Linked DNA regions of Solanum lycopersicum. The protein of the gene in region 2 interacts with the protein of the main gene of each other region in a pairwise test. Links are inferred from orthologs where the notes say so. Each region holds a gene or a part of one and is shown on either strand. Other genes may lie near its edges. The genes, in order: plastid division protein CDP1, chloroplastic; protein ACCUMULATION AND REPLICATION OF CHLOROPLASTS 3, chloroplastic.

Evidence for each region.
Region 1: the proteins of protein ACCUMULATION AND REPLICATION OF CHLOROPLASTS 3, chloroplastic (region 2) and plastid division protein CDP1, chloroplastic interact in binary tests that used the Arabidopsis thaliana proteins (3 or more experiments, as listed by UniProt). The link is inferred for Solanum lycopersicum from reciprocal best matches to the Arabidopsis thaliana genes ARC3 and PARC6.

Annotation. Positions count from the first base shown.
Region 1 is NC_090802.1:57,727,166-57,730,510, forward strand, and holds part of plastid division protein CDP1, chloroplastic, read right to left. Parts: intron 2,717-3,345; coding exon 2,603-2,716; intron 2,525-2,602; coding exon 2,387-2,524; intron 2,295-2,386; coding exon 2,190-2,294; intron 2,095-2,189; coding exon 1,972-2,094; intron 1,572-1,971; coding exon 1,203-1,571; intron 988-1,202; coding exon 892-987; intron 807-891; coding exon 687-806; intron 318-686; coding exon 252-317; intron 172-251; coding exon 1-171. UniProt on the Arabidopsis thaliana protein: Component of the plastid division machinery required for PDV1 localization to constriction sites. Involved in chloroplast division site placement. Required for the proper formation of FtsZ rings at the division site in nongreen plastids (e.g. etioplasts).
Region 2 is NC_090800.1:2,349,066-2,352,891, forward strand, and holds part of protein ACCUMULATION AND REPLICATION OF CHLOROPLASTS 3, chloroplastic, read right to left. Parts: intron 3,403-3,826; coding exon 3,338-3,402; intron 2,009-3,337; coding exon 1,874-2,008; intron 1,053-1,873; coding exon 1,004-1,052; intron 514-1,003; coding exon 401-513; intron 237-400; coding exon 165-236; intron 1-164. UniProt on the Arabidopsis thaliana protein: Together with MIND1 and MCD1, regulates FtsZ ring positioning in chloroplasts in an ARC6-dependent manner. Z-ring accessory protein involved in the initiation of plastid division and division site placement (might functionally replace bacterial MinC).

The DNA.
Region 1 (3,345 bases), on a different chromosome or scaffold from region 2:
TGACCCGAGATGCCGTGAAGTATCACCATACGGAAGTGGTTCATCTGTAGCTCTTTGGTCCCGTGTAATAGCAGGTGCAAGTGGCCTATGACTAATTTGAGATGCAGTCTGCAGACCTCTTTTATTTCCCTTGCTCACGAAAGGTCGTTTCTCGCCGCGAAAGAAGTTTACCTGTTGCAAATCTTTAGAGTTAGTTTAGCTCTCTACAATGAGGTACTTTTTGAATCAAAACATTTCATAACATGACTCACTAATGACGGAGAACAATCCCTCGTATCAGGGAACAAGCCAAGCACAGCATCCTTCAACCAGGTCTCCTGGAAAGCCACAAGATGTTATGATGAGAAACATTTGACTTCAACTCAACAAAAGACTTATCCCAGATAGAAACATCACCCTTGGATAAAAAAATAGAAACAAGTTTTGCTTATATCATTATCTATGGTCAGAAAATCCTAATTTTGTTTACAAAAAGGTGGACTCTGCAAAAGAGCAACATGTCAACAACTATAAATTGGTGCTGAGGAGTTAGGGTCACGGAGAAGTGCATTTATATTTTTAAAAGAGAAAAAAGTAATGACCCCTAAAGAATATAAAATGAAATAAATGCAGAGGGAGAAACCAGGAAACCAGCCTATATGAACCACATAGTTTCAGAGACTGATTAACAGCATGTAAATACATACCAGTGGTTTTGATACAGTTGAAACATCTTTCGTTTCTTTGACCGATGCTAAATTACGTGAAGCTGTATCTGAGTTCAGCTCAAGCTGCCGAAGCTTTTCAGTAGCTGCAGCTTCATCACCCTGTATTAACAAAATTTACTTTTCTCAATAAACACTGAAGGGAAAGGAAATACATAGCCAGTGAAAGAGGAAATTACAGATTCACCTGCCCAAGAAGGAACAACAAGAAAGCTTCCTCAAATTTCAAATCAACTCCTTCTGAAGCGATCAAACACTCACAAATTATTTTGGATTTGTTAATCTGCAATAAACAATTGAATTTTTTTGTCAACATGTTACTGCATCCGGAATCCTGGCATTTTCAGGTAAAACATCTAGCAAGATATTGGAATTGCGTTACACACAGAGAGTTGATGCAATTTAACCTTATATCTTAATAGAGTCAAAACACTTTATTGCGGTCAACTTCAGCAAGTGAAAATCAAAGAACAAAGAATAGACCAACGTCGTAATTACCAGATCAATCTGCTTGCTGGAAAATCCTAGGGCAATATGAGCTAATAAAACCACGTAGAAACAGTTGAAATCAATTACAACTCTTTGGTTTTGTGACTCAATGGACTTTTTGTTCTTCCTTGTGACAGCCAAATTATCCCACTGAAGGAGTTCAACAATCTCCGAAGCCATAAGCTTATTAAGAGCTTGATTTAAGAAGCATTGCCAATCCTGAACTTGGCAGGAAGCTTCTACGTCAAGGCCCTGTCTGAGCAATTCACGTAATGCTGCAATGGCTCCTAACCTCCGCTCAGCATTTTCAGGTGTACGAGGCAGGCCTAATAACTCCAAGGTGCAGGCAGGAGCGAGCTCTTCCAACGATTCTTCTATCTAAGCGCAAGGTAAAATATAATCCCAATGAGAAATAAGAAACAGCACATCAGAGAAGTATTTGCACTAAATGTTGCAGAGACTGAAAACACCAACAAAACTTCCAAGTCTCCAACTATAGACATAACATCATAGCTACACATTTTTACAGAGAGAATCTTCTATATTTAACTCAAGCTAGGTTTTTAGTCTACTGCAATTGCTATTATAATGATAAAGAAATCTACTGATGATGAGATGGATGCAAAAAAATTGATGCACATTCACATAGCAAAGCCTTAGCCCTTAAATATCTAAACTACGGCACTTACATGTAAAATGAAAAATAAGATGAAGAAAAAATACAAATTTCGCCTTCACAAAATCTGGATATAAGACAGCAGAACTAAGACAAGCTAACCTGAGATAATAATGTCATCTTCCCAAGAGAAACTTTGCTCCTTAAAAGACATTGAGCACGAGCAAGAGCTTCAAATCCTTGTGAAATTCTGTTCTTCTCAAATCCAACTTTTGCAATTGCACACTTCAAGAAAGCACCTAGAATAAGAAACCCAAGCATAACACAGATCCCAAGAAAAAGACAGCATAGAGTTATGATATTTTCTCTCTTTGCCTAACCTCAGCAAGTGCCATGGACAAAAGAATATCATGAACATAAGGCTTAGAATCTGGATGTTGAAGAGCTTTCTGTCCAATATTTAGCACAAGCTTCTCTTCCCCGACCTGAATGAATAATGTTAACATTTTAAATAATCATTTTCGCACAAACTTGCAATGAAAGTAATCCGCTTGCTCAATAGTGTATTGTATCTTACCTCTTGAAGAAGACAAAGAGCACTAGATAACCAAGCCCATGGTATTCTAAGAGAAGACCTTGGTGGAACCCTTTCTTTTATATTTCCGGCATATTCTGGCTCAAACAAAAGCTTATCCCTCACATCCATTAAAAGATTCTGAAAACATGTAGCCAAGCATGAGAATACAGGATAACCTCTATAAGAAAGATGAATATGTAGGACTGCAGCTACCACCTGGCGAGAAACAACAGCATCCATGGTGTATCCATCTTCAATCTCAGCATTCTTGAGATGCATTACCGACTTGACAATTTCATCCTTCTCAGCTCGGTCTGAGACACCGATGATCTGCAAGTTAATACAAAATTGAGGATCATTTCTTGGAAATAGAAATGTCCTTCCTCCCCTTACCTCTAGCTTTAGTACCACTTTCTTGGACATCAAATCAATTTTGCTAGACTTAGTACACAACAATTATATTCCCACTTGAAAGCACTGGCCCAGTAAGGAAAAGCACATAAAAAGTAAATAAAAAGAGAAGAGATTGTTTATCTATAATGTAGCATCCAAGAAGGTGCAAATAACTATAAAAAGGATCCATGCTCTCCTCTCACTGACATAAATAGTCCATAGGTACAGTATATCCATATTGTTTGCATTGTTTATCCTATACTTTGTATTGTATACGGCCTCATTTTTTCCTTCACGAAACTTAGAACTTTTTTTTAGAAGGCTTCCTGCATGCGAAGTATGGAATATGGAATGTGTAGAACAGAGACAGGTAATAATGAAATATACTTACTCTATATAGTTGACCTATATTCAAACCCCTTCTTCAATGCATTTATGTAGTATCTGGATATTATAAACCCTTTTTTTAACACATGGCCACTAAGTTTTAAATGTTAAACCAAAATGACATACCTCCTCCGTCCAATTTACATGGCAGTGTTTGACTGGGCATAGAATTTAAGAAA
Region 2 (3,826 bases):
TTGAAAGACAACCAAAAGTATTGCCTCTAGAGCAAAGAAAATTTACTAAGTTGTACATAACCGCGATTTCCAAGGATAAGAACTACTAGAGATGACACACTCCAAATAAAATCTATGTTATCAGCAATTCAACTTACTACGTAAAACAAGATTATAGTTCTTACTTTTATTAGCTCTGGACCACTCAGTTCTTTTGTACCACAATCTGTCGCATCTAGAAGCTTTATGTGGTCCTCCTGTTATTGTTGCAAGTTTACAGACAGACAGATATTAGATAAATTCATTAATCAAAAGTTGTACAAGGCACTAAGAAAACAAGAGCCAGAAAGCAGAAAAAAGAAGAAAAGGAAAAGAGAGGAAAAAAGAATCAAGAGACTTATTGGAGAAAAAAACAACTTACAGACATAAGAATTGAAATGGCATTAACAGCCATTAGAACAGCATTATATGAAGTCTTCAAAGCTTCATCCAGAGTTAAAAGATCTTTCTTGAGAAGACCATCAGTGTCAATAACTGCAAACCCAAATTAAAAAACATCACAATCTGGGAACTATGGCAGAGTTGCTAACAGACTCTTCTTTCTATAAAGTAAAATTTTTTGTTAGAAGTTTGGGCATAAAAACACCCGCATACAAGAATACCCAGTAAAACCTAAAAAAGGTATGATTCTCTACAAACAACACCCAATCTTCAAAAAAAACGTCATATTATGCATTCACGAATTAAAGGTATTCCAGAATAGCTGAACCATTACTGGCAAAACTGTTAATTTTCACAAATAATCAATTTAATTGATCTCAATGACACTTGTAGTCATGCAAAGCTTTAACAGCACGTAATTAAAGTAATGACAAAGTAGACATGTGCTCGTTAAAACTTCTAATGGATGAGGGTGCACTAAAATAACAGTGTAGAAGCAAGGACCTCCCCTATGATATTAGTATCGGCAAATTTGTATGAGCTGCAGATAAGCTTATACTGTAATATGTGAAGTTCAACTGACCTATACAAACAGTTGCATGCTTTTGAAGTTTGTCAATCAAATCTGTGACCTGTAAGTAGGATGAACCATCAAGAATATTGGTCAAAGACAAGGCTGGTAATATTGTGAAAAGCATTCGAAAACTGAAATTCAACTAAGGAAAATCAAATTCCAAACACAAACATCTTTAATAGTGCCTAATGTAACTTCAACATAAATAAACCCCAACTTTCTTGAACTTCTAGAAATGTCCTCCATTCCATCAAAGATAAAGATAGAAGTAAAATGAAATAAAACGGAACCTAAAGCCATTTGTAGGTCTACCATGTTTCTTTTCTTCTTTTTTTTTGTGAATCAGTAGGTCTAACTGGAATACTATTATTGATCATCTTAAAAAAAATTATTATTGATAAAGGTGGCATGTCTGTTGTATATTGATCTGTTTTAATCCGAAAATGGGAAAGCATTGGTCAGTTTTCCCCATTAGATAACATACGCATGGTGCACTACGGCTATATCCTTAGATGTTCTTGCCTACCTATACCACCATAGCATATGACCTACAATATAGTACACCGTGTTTATGACTTCAAGTTGTTTATGCATGAACACATTAAATAAAACACCATCTCAATAGGTTATCAATGTTTTGACAGGTATGACATATACAATATGTGTATCTCGAGTATCTTCATTACTTTAAAGTAGAACAACAAACTGCTTAGTCCATACAACATTGTCAATGGCTCGTATTCTTTACAACCAATGAGGATTTAAAAATAAAATTGCTTCCATCATGAATCAACTTTGTTGTTTGCATTTTTTCGCCTAATATCCTTCCACAAAAAGATCTATTCAGCAGCATCATTTCCCAAAACAAAAGTATAATACCTCATCATAGCGCCTTCGTCCTTCAAAGCTGAAAGGTTTCAGAATGATGCCGACCGCTAGTCCATTTCTGGACTTTAATTTCCTTATAATATCAAGTGCTGGGACATGATCGGTGCCATAAGCTGCACTAGCCACCTAAAGAAGCAACAAGGAAAACAACAATTTTGGCTAAAAAGAATATACAATTAAAGCAACGTAAATTGAGATGGTGAAAAAAGAAAATGTTTTCTTTACAAATCTTCTAGATTTCATTTCCTTTCATACTAGCACAGGCATAGTTTCTCAAAGAAGTTACTGCCCCCAATTAAAAGTTGTAAGACTCTAGACAAATATTTCATTTGACTTCATCATTACTAAGTGAAGCCAATTCAACTTCTTCCGTTCTTATTTTGCTAATGGTTTCATTAAATACTCTCAAAAATTCGAAAAAATACAATTCTGACTTATCTATCAAACTGTTCTATAGGACAGCCTCTATTTGAAAGCAAAAGGTAAATCAGAGGCAAAACAGATTTCTGTCTCTTTAGCTACAAAAACTTGAGGTCTCTTATGGTAGAAATCATCCACATTTCTTCACAAGAAAGTTTTGACCCTGAACATAAAGTAGCATTGTAGCTAGAGACATTCAAAAGCAACAATATAGAGCTTAATAGTTCAAGCATTGTTGGTCATAGTAGCGTTGTGTAGCTTGTGACTTAAGTTATGCCAGAGCTTGGTTCAGTGGTTTATCAAGGTACCTCTCAGCAACTCAAATTGGAGGATTGATCAGGTTATGACTACAGCACATGTTCCAAAATTCTTGTAGGTTTAAAACGGCACTTGTTAACTTAGAGAGATAGGAGGAAGTACAGTAAATCATATAAGTCATATTGCTTACTCTTTGAAACATGTTCTAAGATTTATAACATCAGTTTCTAATGCTGCAGCTTCTGCAAACCTTAAGGAAGAAATCAAGGAAAGATTCCTAATGTTTCTCTCCTTTCACCACTTTGTTACTCATCTGCTGCAATGTTGGACATATTTCAGATATGATTTCTTAGATATCCATATAAACCTAATGATGAAGTCTAAGCAGTAGAAAATCATTGAAGCCCCTGCATATCATGCATGTGTTTGCTCTAATGCCATTCTAATACAACAACACTTAAACCCTCTATATAGATGCTGAAGTTACTTTCACAATAAGCCGGGAAGTACTAGATACTAAAACTGAAGATATAGACACATGATTTTGTTCAAGAACAGAGCAAATCCTTGGTCCGTGATCTTATTCATGACCATCTACGCATTCCCTGACTCTTGTCCACTACTCATGTCTGCCTTAGCGGAAAACAAAGGAACACCGTCCTATGTTACCCATCCAAGTGAGTGTTTTCATTAAATTCACATTAGATAGTACCTTTACTCAATAATCACTGGTAATAAAAGGAGATCTTAGGGATAAGAGTTGAGGAATGTACAAACAAGTATAACTGCTTTGGAACATGAATTTATTGCTGATGGAACTTCCACAATTCTTGAAGAAACATCTGCAAAAGAAGTTACGAGAAAAGCTTAAAGTTCATAACAGATAGAAGGGGAGGAGGCAGCAAAGAATAAGATAGACAAGAACAGTAGTTGGACAATCTTAGAGCTTGGCTCATGACTCATCTTAAAAGGTATCAAGAAATTTTAAAGCTGCATAAGGATCTCTTGGCATGGGGAAGAATCTAAGCATCCAACCCACCACCTTAAGGCATTGACTGGAATTGCTCAAGATGTTTATTAACTTCTTTGAGAACTCTTGCATAACCCATGTGGGATAACTATTTTTTTCCAGATGAAGTAAGGTTATTATAAACAAAAGAGCATTAACTTACGTATACAAAGGTATTACCAACAAGTAAAAAATCATTCAAAAATAAATGATTTCCTACGAAAGCCACCCGATCATCTATATAAATAGTAACTTCA